Linked DNA regions of Ovis aries. The protein of the gene in region 2 binds, or shares a complex with, the protein of the main gene of each other region. Links are inferred from orthologs where the notes say so. Each region holds a gene or a part of one and is shown on either strand. Other genes may lie near its edges. The genes, in order: AXIN1, GSK3B and FRAT1.

Region 1 (3,643 bases), on a different chromosome or scaffold from region 2:
TGTGGGAGGCGGGTGGAGTTAGTTCTGTTTGTGTTCTTCTTTTCTGCTGCTCCATGTGGCACGTGGGCTCTTAGTTCCTCAACCTGGGGTCGAGCGTGCACCCCCTGCAGGGGAAGTGCAGAGTCTTACCTGCTGGACTGCCAGGGGACTCCCGAGTGGACCTGACTCTGACCGTGTGTTGCCTGGGAACAGGTAGAATGCAGGTAATTGGACCTTGATGCATCAAGGGTGCCTGTTGGTAATCCCTGAAGGAACCATTGAAAGAACAGTGAAAGAGCTACTCTATTAGAGGCAGGAGACAGAAAATAGAAAGTATTCCAAAAGAAGGCAAGGAGGGACACAGGAAACTAGAACAGCCGTGACTGGCAGCGAGCAGTGAGCCGGCGGGTCCACTCTGTCGTCACACTGAGCGCAGCGGGACCGGAGAAGTGATTCAAAGGAAGAACGGTCAGACCAGATCGTGGGGAGGCCGCTGCTCAGGAAGGAGGCAGAAGCGAAAGGACGAGGAAGTTTTCGAGTGAAAGCGTGGAGGGCGGAGTGCTGCACTCAGCAGCCCCAGAGGCCTGGCGGTCCTGGGGGTTCTGTCGTGAGGTCTCCCTAGATCCCACGTCCGAGTTCCGGTTCCGGCCGTCCTGTGGGGAGCAGCCGGCGGTCCCCGAGTGACGTTTCGCAGAGCTTCCTGTGTCGCGGCACTCTGCGGCGCCTGTCCCGAGGGCTGGCCTCGCTGCCGGGCCCTCCTCCTCTTTCTCCCCACGCACTTTCTTCCCGGTGTGTCTGGACGTGGAGCTGTGTCTGTGCTGGGGTTTGCTCAGCACTGGCGGCTGGGGAAAGAACCTGTTTCCCCTGCTTGTCACCTCAAAGCTGGGTTTCCTGGGCCCCGTCGGGGGAGGGCACAGGCGGCCCATGCAGGCGTTGGGGTCACGGGCTCGGTCCTGCCCTCTTGGGAAGGGTGAGGGCCCGGGGCGTGCGGCGGCTGGCCCTGAGGTAGCGGGACATGGAGGGGCGCCTCAGCTGTCCGTGGCCTGAACTCCAGCGCGGTAGCTGTGTTGGTGGTTGTGTTGATGGTTTGTGTTTAAACAGCCAGAGGAATAGCAGTGCCATTTAGGGAGAGCGTGGGGCTGCAGATGTGGGCTCCACGTCAGCGCGCGTGTGGGCCCAGGATGGCCCCTGTCCCTTCCCCAGAGCCTCTGGGCCCTGCGCCCGCCCTCATTTGGTGGGACCCGGCTGCTGTGGGGGCTCGGGAGGACCGTGATGTGGGGTGACGAGCCCGGGTCCTGACCTGAAGGGGTGGCTGTGTGCACCGTCACCGTCCTGGAGGTGCCGTGGCTGCTCTGCTTTTGTGCTTGGCGCCCGGGAGGTGGGCTGCTCACTGGGGTCTCTCCAGCAATCCTGCCTGGCCCAGCCCAGCTCACGCGTCCTGCGTGCACGGCTCACACCAAGGTGTCCCCCAGGGCCCCGTGGATGCAGAAGTGCTCTGTTCCCTTCTCTGCATCGAGCGCACGGGTCCGCGGAGCCAGTGCGGCTGCCATTCACGAGCGCCCCGACCAGGATGAGGCTGCGGTCAGAGCCCTCCTCATCATGTGCCCCCTTCGCGTGACCTTTGGGGACTGACCACCGCTGCTTCCAGGCGGCTCAGGGGAGAGCAGGTGGTGCCGGGAGCCGTAGCTCTGAGGGACTGGCGGGGCCTTCGCGGGCTGAGCAGAACAGAGACTCCAGAAGGGGCGCGTGTGGGGCCAGGTGTGCAGGGATTCAGGGCGCGGCGGTGACGTGCTCAGTGCCCGTGGCTGGCTCTCCATTCCGATGCAGAGGAGTAGGTGGGTTTTACATGCACGAATTTCAGGTAGCGATCTTAGAAAGCAGTGAAGTACTTGGAGAAGAACTGAGGGATATGTTTATGATTGTCAAATGAGGAAAGTTGACCTATGTAAGATACAAAAAAAAAAACCTGTAAGGAGAAAGATTGGTAAGTCTGATTTCACAGAAGTAAAGTTTTCTAATACCAAAATCGACATAAAGTTAAGAAGTGACATTTAGGGAGGAAGTATTTTCACGTATGTAACCAGAGGTTAATAGTAAGAATATTTAAGTGAAAGTCGCTCAGTTGTGTCCGACTCTTTGCAACCCCACGGACTGTCCATGGAATTCTCCAGGCCTGAATACTGGAGTGGGCAGCCTTTCTCTTCTCCTGGGGATCTTCCCAACCCAGGGATCGAATGCAGGTCTCCCGCGTTGCAGGCAGATGTTTTACCAGCTGAGCTGCAAGGGAAGTTCAAGAATATTTAAAGACATCTGTAAATCACTAAGAAACTCGTAAACTGCCCAACAGAAAATAGACAGAAGGTATGAACAGGTCATTTAAAGAGGAAAGAATTAATTTAAGGACATCTCCGTGCTGCCCCTGCTGACCATCTGCCAGGGAAATGCAAGCTGTTAGTGTCGGTTTCTGGCTAGTTTGGCGCCCCACGGTGGCGCGTCCCGCCCGGGGGTGCAGGATGGGCCCTGCTGTCCTGGGGAGCAGCATGGCGGCCGCTCGCACACCCACGGCCCTCGTGCTCGCCCGCGCTGTGCCAATGTTCAGGCTTGTGCCCCGGACGCCTGGCTGGGGCCCTCGTGGACGGCTGTGGCACGGGGCCGGGGCAGGGCGGGTGCGCTCTGTGGGTCAGTGAGTCTGCGGCTGCAGGGGCAGGGGCGCGGAGCTGGTGCCCTATTTCTAGTTACTGGCAGAGAGCACGCGTGTGCTCACGGGCACAGCTGCCCAACTGCACAGGGGAGGCGTGGGGTGCCCGTCTCCCCGGAAGCATGGGGGTGGGGGCAGGGCAGACCCACGGCCTTTTCTGCCCTGTCTCTTCTGAAGGCTTTGGGTCTGTAGTCCACGTGCTGGGGTCACCGGTGATTCTGAAGAGGATCAGTGCGCGGGGACGTGGCCTGGCGGCTGCTAACATACCTCCTTATTGGCAGGTGTGGACCGTGGCGGGAGCCCGTCAACCCCTACTACGTCAACTCCGGCTACGCTCTCGCCCCTGCCACCAGCGCCAATGACAGCGAGCAGCAGAGCCTGTCCAGTGACGCTGACAGCCTGTCCCTCACCGACAGCAGCGTGTAAGTGCCCGCCGCCCCGCCCCGCGCCGCGGGCTGCTCCTGGAGGCCCTCCTGCAGACCACAGCCTCGGTGGCTTCCCTCCAGGCGAGACGCCGAGCCGCCTGGTGGTGCCCAGCCCTGGTCTCGGTGCCGGTGTGTGCAGTACGTCCAGAGCGGGCCACCCCAAGGCATCTGCTCTGTGCTTGCCCCCCTGTGATCTGGAAGCCGTCTCACCCGATTGGCAGGGCTTGTCGTCCCCTCGGTGTGGCTCTGTGCCGGCCGGCTGGGGCCCTAGAAGGTGGCATGAACCCCTGTCCAGGGATGCCTCCCCTGGGGAAAGTGCTCGCTTCTGACACCTTTCTCTGGTTCGCCAATGACTTTGGGGACCTTGGTGCAGGTCAGGATGTGATGGTGTCACACCTGCCCATGTCACACCAGGGCATGGCTTGTCTGCCTGCTGGGGCCCAACTCCACTGCCTACGTGCATCAGGCTTGCCTGCGTTCAGTCACACACCATTTGCTGTCTCTCTGCCCCGACAGGGAGGTTCTGGCTTGGAGCCAGCAG
Region 2 (3,743 bases):
GAGGGGGGAGGGGGAGTGGGGAAGAGCTAGGCGGCTGCGCAGACGGCACTCCTCACAGAGAGCAGCCCCCGACCCGGGCGAATGCGGGCTCGTGCTGCTGCTGCTGCTGCTGCTGCTGCCGCCGCCGCCGCCGCCGCCCGGGCCGAGTGACAAAGGAAGGAAGGAAGGAAGCGAGGAGGAGCCGACCCCGCAGCCGCTGACAGGGCTCCGGACTGGGGGCAAAGCGCGGACACTTCCTGAGCGGGACTGTGCAGAAGCGAGGGGCGGGAGGGCGGCCGCGCTGGTGCCTTGGACGGGGGAGGGGGCCCCCGAGGGACGGAAGCGGTTGCCGGGTTCCCATGTCCCCGGCGTATGGGGAGCAGTCGAGGAGCCGCTGCCTGGGGTCTGAAGGGAGCTGCCTCCGCCGCCGCCGCCGCCATGGCCGCTGGATCCAGCCGCCGCCTGCAGCTGCTCCTGGCGCAATGAGGGGAAGAGCCGCCGCCACCGCCCGACTCTGACTGACTCGCGACTCCGCCGCCTTCCAGTTCGCCGGGCCCCCACCGTCAGCCCGCCGGATCCTTGCCGCTGCCGGAGCCGCAGCGTTTCCCGACGCATCTCCGAGCCACCCCTCCCTCTCCCTCCCTCCTTCCCATCCCCCCTTCTTTTCAAGCGTGAGACTCGTGATCCTTCCGCCGCTTCCCTTCTTCATTGACTCGGAAAAAAAATCCCCGAGGAAAATATAATATTCAGAGTACTTATTTTCAATCCAGTATTTGTCCCCGTTTCACGTGATATATATTTTTTAGGATCTCCCACCCATTTCTGCCCTCCAAGGAAAAGGAGGGGAAAGAATTGTAATTTTTTCCCAGCCCCGGATCGTCTATATGTTAAATATCCGTACTGATCTGTCTTCAAGGAGAAATACATCGCTCGCTTTTTTAAATAGCTGTACAAAAGGAGTGAAAAGGCAAGAGGACGAAGTCTTTTTCCTGTGGGAAAACTTAATGCTGCATTTATCATTAACCTAACACCCCAACATAAAACAAAAGGAAGAAAAGGAGGAAGGAAGGAAAAAAGGTGATTCGGTAAAAGAGTGATCATGTCAGGGCGGCCCAGAACCACCTCCTTTGCGGAGAGCTGCAAGCCAGTGCAGCAGCCTTCAGCTTTTGGCAGCATGAAAGTTAGCAGTGAGTATTGATTTTATTTTACACCCCTTCTCCACCTCCCCTTTGAATAAGAGACTTTGAAATACCAGGATCTTAAAATACGAGACCTGCTGATAAAACAGAGGTAATGGGAAAGGGCAAAAACCTGTCTTCAGTCAAGGATGAGGCAGCTTCCTTTTTTCCTCCTCCCATATCCCTTCTCCGGTCTCATTAACCTTGAATCGGGGGAATGGGATTTTTATTTAGATGATTCTGTCTGAAACTTAGTTCTTTTCTTACAGTTTTCTAGCAATTGATAGTCAGCTTTATTAAGTGGTTGAGTGTTTCCACCTTAAAATAGTGATGGAAGTGTTTACTTGCTCATCCTTTTGATTAAAGCGAAGGACAAGACTCATAAACCATTATGTGCTTTTCCAGAGTGTGTCTTTTGGAATGAGGGATAGTTTAGTTCGCTCAGGTCTCGAGGGTTACCATAGTTTTGTATACTTAATGGAAGAGGTGAATGTCACCGTCTCCTAACATTTCTTTCTTACTTGTGTGACTATACAAAGTGTTTGTTCTTAATCCAGAGATGAACTCGCTAAGTAACCACATTTCGGTTGGAAGGCGAGCTTTGATTTGTCTCTTTAGAAGGGACGGGTACCGCTGATAGATACTCAGTAGCAGTAGTATCTCAACATGCATTGTTCTAAATTGGATACGCGGTTTAATATGTTATCTCTTAACCTTACCGTTTTGACATTGCCAATCTACCACTATAGAGTTAATGTTTAATCAAAAGGTAACTTGAAAGTAGGTCCGAGTTTTGAATGGGGCTTATATTGTCATGTTGCTAAATAGTAAGTTGAATGTTAATTGTCACTGACTCATCATTAAAGTTCAGCTTTGGGGTGCCATTGCTTTCAGTACTTGCTAAATGATCTAGAGTTCAGATGTTCCTTCTTAGGACTGCTTACAATACTCTCGCATTGTTTTCCTTTCGAATTCAGATAAGGCTATGAAGTTAGAAGAATATGGATTTAGACTTTATCATCATAGGTTTTGCAGAAGGTTGTGGTCCCAGATTTAATAGAGGTATTTGGGCTTTGTTCAAGGCTGTTGCTAGACGTCTATACTCTCTTCCCAGATTTGTGCTCAAAAAGTCTATTTTGAGTGTTTGGTATACTAAGTATCCAGTGTTTTAACGTATCTCTAGTTATGGATATGTTTATGTGATATTTAATGTCAGTTTATTTAAATATACTTAAAGAATTCGACAAAAATATCTATTATAGTTTCCTTATTCCTTCAGAAAGGAGCATGAATGAGGGCAAAGAAAAACTTTTACTGCTTAGAAGAAGGAGAGAATTGAATTGAGATTTTTTTTAAAAAGGTATATGCTGTTATGTGAAATTGATTATAAAATGAACACTCTTACTTGAACTCAGGATTTCAGTTCATGGTGGCTTTTGGAACTTGTCTGAAACAGGGTAGTCTAAGGTAATAGCTGAATGGGAGATTATTTTTGAGAGTTAAATTTTTTTTTTGGTGACTAGCTAGTTCAGAATGCAGAGTATGTGAAGAGGGAAGCTGATGATGCATCTTTCAGGGAATGGTCAAGCTTTCTAAGCACTTCATGGGGTCATTTGAGAGGAATATTTTAAAATTCTGGGGTAATTTTCAGCTATGATGAAGCAAATCTTATAATAGCTCCTTAAGAGCCTCTTGTGGTACTGGAGTGTTAGGATGTTTTTCATCTTGGTTTAAAGACCACTTGAAATCAATTTTAGGTAATTAGTTTATTCAGAGAGCAGAATGGGATACCTAATAATATTAAATTTGGGGACTTTTCATTTAGTTCACAGGATTTTCTATGAATCCTTTGTGGATGTTGACTGAAGATGGAGTAACTCTTGCAAAGTGCAGGTGAAAATGTTGACTTTTCTGTTACCATATAGGTCAGCTTAACATTTAAAAGATTGGAGTTCAGTGTTGACTATGTGTTTTTGACAACCGTAACTTTAAATACATTTTGGAAGAAAGCCTTTGTTGGAATGCTGGTGTTCTAAGGGACCCCTGTTTAAGCGATAAGAAATTATAGTCCTTGCCTTGAAAAGCTTATCAGTTTTTGAGGCAGATTATGGGACAAAACGTGAAAACAGTAATATGATGACTGCAAGATTATAAATGCAAATAGAATACTTTGTTCAGAGGAACAAAAAATAAAGGCATGAGGTAGATGGCTTGGAGAGAAGACTTCTTACAGAGGTATGTTTTAAGGCAGGTGTTAAAGGAGGCAGTAACTTATATTGAGAAGCATAAAGGATTCTAGGTGGACAGAATGGACAGAGGCACAGAGATGGTGACTTTTGTATTTTTGTATTTATAAAGCAGGTTAGTAAATCTGAATAAAAGGGGCCTAAATAGGAAAATAAGAAGAGATGGAATTTGAGAAATATGTTAACTGATGGAAAGCAGAGGGGGCTTATGATTATGGTTGAGATTCAAGAGAGTTTGGAATTTACTATAGGTTGATGAACAAAATATTTGAAGATGGTTTGGGCAGCAAAGTTGATGAATTAGAAACCAGACGTCAGAGCCCTTTTAGGGAGTAGTAGA
Region 3 (3,731 bases), on a different chromosome or scaffold from region 2:
TAAGGTTTTAGTGAATGGGACTGGTCCAAATCCTGACCTCACTTTCATTTAATTTCATGCCAGCACCAATACACACCCAGCCGGCGCAGACCCTAACTAGGGAGCTGCTCAGACACAAAGGCGCTCTAATTACCATCCACAAGCCAGGCCTGACAAGGATTTCAAGTGTTTTCATGTTTATGGAGATCAGAGAAATGTGTTCTGTGCATCTTTCCCACCGCTGACAAGTATAAAATAAAACCAAACAAAAAAACCAACACATTTATTAAAAACAGATATTTCAGTTAAGTTAACATCCTATAATCAGGATAGCCACAATTCCAGACACTCCGGTGCGAAGTGTAGGTATGTCAATAGCCACATCTGGATGACGAACATGCCATTGAATCTTATACAACTAAAACATCAACAATACCGTCTTAGAGCCTTTAGACTGCGTTAACATTGTTACGAGCACTTCACCAGGTTCACAATGGCAAATTCTGCAGCTTCTCCATTCGGAGGGTCACATTTTTTTACTCGGTTTCCTTCACTTACAAAGGCAAGCTGGCACGGCTGGGGGGAGGGGCAGAAGGAGGAAATCAACTCCATCTATCCAGGGAATTGCAGCTGTTATTGCAAATGGCCCCGGAGAGCCCATTATAAGCTGCTGCGCTAGGCTGTGTGTCCCTGGAGTGCCCCATCACGTGGTGTCTCCCAGCCCCCAGCCTGGGCCCCCAGGAGCGGCAGCGCCACCAGCTAGAGTTGGACAGCACAGCGGAGGGGAAGAGGAGGGACTCGAGGCCAGTTCTCCGGGCAGTTTCCGTCAAAGTCCAGGGCGCGGCCGCCCGCAGGAGGCACCGGCGCCTAGCACGTCGCCACCTCCCTCAACCCGCGGTGGCAGCGGTGCCCGTGTCCTCAGAAGACTCCAGCACTTGCAAAACACCGCGTACTACTCCGAGTACAGGCAGAACCGGGTGACTCTGCCCTGCTAGAGCCCCGCAATCTCGTTTGCGCCCAGGAAATGGTGACCTTGAACCCGAGGAGGGGCGGACAGACGGTGAAAATACACATTCAAGAGGACCGCGGGTTCGCTCCGCGCCGCGCCCTCACCTTTCCCCAGGACCTCTCACCCCCACGTCCAATTAGCATCCCAGGTGCTCCGCCTTCCCCCGCCGCTCTGAGAAACGCTGACAGTCGCAAAGCGGGTGGGGTGGGGGTTCGCAGAGAAAAGGTTACTTCTATTCAGTTCTCCAAAATGTCCTTTCACGGTGCCGCGTGTTTTATACCAAGTACAAGCACCTCAAAATACACGAGATAGGTGTTTTGTTTTTTTTTAAAGTGTCGTAAAATTTCAAGTCTGGCAGTTTGAGGTACTCCCTTAAATGATCTACAAATGTTCCCCTCTCCTAAAGTGAATCAGGAACCAGCCTTGGAAAGGTAAAGCAAGTAACTGGGGTCATCCTTGGCCTTTGGGCGCTCCGCGATCCTGTGAAGCATGGACTCCGGCCACGTGGTTGCCAGGTTAGAGTACCCGAGAGGCTGCGTGGAACCGCACGCTGCGCCACCAGGGCTGGTCACACCAGTGAGGAGTCCTACTGACTGCGAGCTTGGGGTGCACTCTGTAATCTGCCTTCAGTGGCACCAACGAAGTCAACCACGTCGGGGCCCTAGACCTCAGTTCCCGCGAACACATTCTCAATTTTTCGATTCCTCATCTTCATATAAGGTATTTTCCCGCTTCCGGAAGTGCGACTTCACCAGTTTGAGTAGAGATATAGCCCTCAGGGGAACCCCTTGCCCTTCAGGCAGAGGCTCGCGCAGTGGCCACTCTCGAGGTGTTAGCTGCCAGGGACTAGAACGCTGTCGCCTGTTCTGAGCTGCGCCCTCCTCCCGGACGCGCCGGGGTCGCTGCAGGCCGCGCGAGGGCTGCGGGGCGAAGGGGGCTCATGCACTGGGGCCGACAGAGGGCCCAGGAGCTGGCGCTGGGGGAGCTTTGCGTGCAACTGCAGCCGTCGCGAATGAAGCCTCCGCACCGCCTCCTTGATGAGGTTTCCCGAGAGCACGAGCTGCTGCAGGAGCCGGTGCGGGTCGTCGTCGCCGTTGCGGGCTGTAGGCTGTAGCCCGCGTCGGTGCTGGAGGCGGCGGGAGGCAGCGGCGTCCCGCAGCCAACCTCGCCGGCAAGGGCCCGACAGGGGCTGCGGGGAACCCCGTTTGTCTGCTCCCAAAGGCCCGTCAAGGCTGGGCTGAGGGGGCAATGGGGACAGCGCGCTGGGGCCTGCGGCGAGCTCCGCCACAAAGTAGGGCGCAGCCCGGCCCCGCACGCGGCCGCGGTCCCCGAGGGCGCAGCGCAAGGCCCCCGGGGGCGCCGGGCCCCCAGCCTCGACCGACGCGGCCGGTAGAAGCAGCGGCTGCGCTGGGGCCCGGGCCTTGTCCGCTCTCACCGCCGCCGGGGGCCGCGGGGGCTGCAGTGGCGGCCCCGGGGGCGCGCACGCGGAGGCAGGGCGGTCCTGCGCCGCGTCCAGCTGCAGCGTCTCGCCGATCTGGGCCACCAGCCGGTCCACCTCAACCGAGCCGCCCACAGTCACCGACTGTTCCAGCAGTAGGAAGCTGTCCTCCTCCTCCTCCTCTTCCTCGCCGGCTTCCTCTTCCTCCTCCCTCCGGCACGGCATGGCCCCCGGCGCCGGCACCCGGAGCTGTGCGGGGGTCGCTGGCGGCTCGGCTGTCCCGGGGGCTCGGTGGGCCGCGGCGAAGCCGGGCGCGGTGCCGAGGCCAAAGCCGGAGCCCGGGCGGACGCGGAAGCCGGAGCCCGCCAGGCACTCGCGCCGCGCGCCTGCAGCCGCGGGAGCCGGAATCCTACCGGCTCGGGTTGATTTGTAAACAATGGGTGACGTAGCCGCCGGGCCCTACCACCGGGCCGAGGAGGGGTGCTCCGTGCATTTGGGGGCCCGGGCAACCTCTGGGCAAGAGTCGTGGGTGAAGCCTTGCTCCCTCTGAGCTTTACAGCCCTGATTGCTGTCTGCGGGGGGAACTGGGGAGCCGATCTTCGCTCTCTGAGCCTGGCATGATTGACATATCCAGAAGATGGACACCGGCGTGGCCTCTGTTGGTTTCTTCCACACACAAGCACAGACACTTACACCCACACACCCACACACTTCTCTAGGCGCGTCAACGTGTCTGGTTTTGGCATTTACGCTTTTGAGGTTAGGGATGCCGGCATTTGGGAAGTGATGGCAGCGTGAGTGAGGCGAGTGATGGAGAGAAGGCGTCAGGCTAGGGATCTGTCTGGAGATTAGGGAAACGAGGCTGACAGATGAAAAGGAAGGGGACCCTGTGGTGCGATGGGGGTGGCGGATTGGAAATTGGCAAAGAAAAGCCACTGATTCGTGTTTTTTTGATCGGGAGCGTGGGTATGTGGGGACCTGGACAGTTACTGTAGAGGAGGTTGCTCGTCTTGGGGGGAGCGGCGAGCTAGAAAGTTCTTTTAAGAAGAATGACTCAACCCAGTAGGGGAGTATCCTTTCTGAAATGGGTAGCAGGAGAGGAAAACGGTCAGCTATTTGGATGGAAATGGAGACACGGCCATGGTAACCCTCCAAGATATCCTGGTTGGTTTAATGATTAACCAAGACTTCATTTTTTAAAAGAAAGAGAGATAGAGAACGATTCTTTATCATCGTATTGTTTGGAGTTTTAAAACCTGTATTAAAAATCCCAAACCCCTCAGGCCTAACTTCTGAACATTAATT

The links.
Region 1: the proteins of GSK3B (region 2) and AXIN1 are in contact, whole or in part, in a crystal structure (PDB 4B7T), measured with the Homo sapiens proteins. The link is inferred for Ovis aries from reciprocal best matches to the Homo sapiens genes GSK3B and AXIN1. Residues at the interface, in NP_001139628.1 of Homo sapiens: Ile228, Phe229, Val263, Asp264, Leu266, Val267, Ile270, Lys271, Asn287, Tyr288, Phe291, Lys292, Phe293, Pro294, Gln295, Ile296; in NP_003493.1 of Homo sapiens: Glu384, Pro385, Gln386, Phe388, Ala389, Glu391, Leu392, Ile393, Arg395, Leu396, Glu397, Val399, Gln400.
Region 3: the proteins of GSK3B (region 2) and FRAT1 are in contact, whole or in part, in a crystal structure (PDB 5OY4), measured with the Homo sapiens proteins. The link is inferred for Ovis aries from reciprocal best matches to the Homo sapiens genes GSK3B and FRAT1. Residues at the interface, in NP_001139628.1 of Homo sapiens: Tyr216, Ile228, Phe229, Ser261, Gly262, Val263, Asp264, Leu266, Val267, Ile270, Lys271, Thr275, Pro276, Ile281, Tyr288, Thr289, Glu290, Phe291, Lys292, Phe293, Pro294, Ile296; in NP_005470.2 of Homo sapiens: His200, Leu202, Leu203, Leu206, Val207, Ser209, Gly210, Asn211, Leu212, Ile213, Lys214, Glu215, Ala216, Val217, Arg219, Leu220, His221.

The regions. Positions count from the first base shown.
Region 1 is NC_056077.1:858,741-862,383, reverse strand, and holds part of AXIN1 (axin-1), read left to right. Parts: intron 1-2,958; coding exon 2,959-3,099; intron 3,100-3,643. UniProt on the Homo sapiens protein: Component of the beta-catenin destruction complex required for regulating CTNNB1 levels through phosphorylation and ubiquitination, and modulating Wnt-signaling.
Region 2 is NC_056054.1:185,712,916-185,716,658, reverse strand, and holds the start of GSK3B (glycogen synthase kinase-3 beta), read left to right. Parts: upstream 1-1,078; coding exon 1,079-1,166; intron 1,167-3,743. UniProt on the Homo sapiens protein: Constitutively active protein kinase that acts as a negative regulator in the hormonal control of glucose homeostasis, Wnt signaling and regulation of transcription factors and microtubules, by phosphorylating and inactivating glycogen synthase (GYS1 or GYS2), EIF2B, CTNNB1/beta-catenin, APC, AXIN1, DPYSL2/CRMP2, JUN, NFATC1/NFATC, MAPT/TAU and MACF1.
Region 3 is NC_056075.1:18,395,925-18,399,655, reverse strand, and holds FRAT1 (proto-oncogene FRAT1), read right to left. Parts: upstream 2,830-3,731; 5' UTR 2,652-2,829; coding exon 1,821-2,651; 3' UTR 248-1,820; downstream 1-247. UniProt on the Homo sapiens protein: Positively regulates the Wnt signaling pathway by stabilizing beta-catenin through the association with GSK-3. May play a role in tumor progression and collaborate with PIM1 and MYC in lymphomagenesis.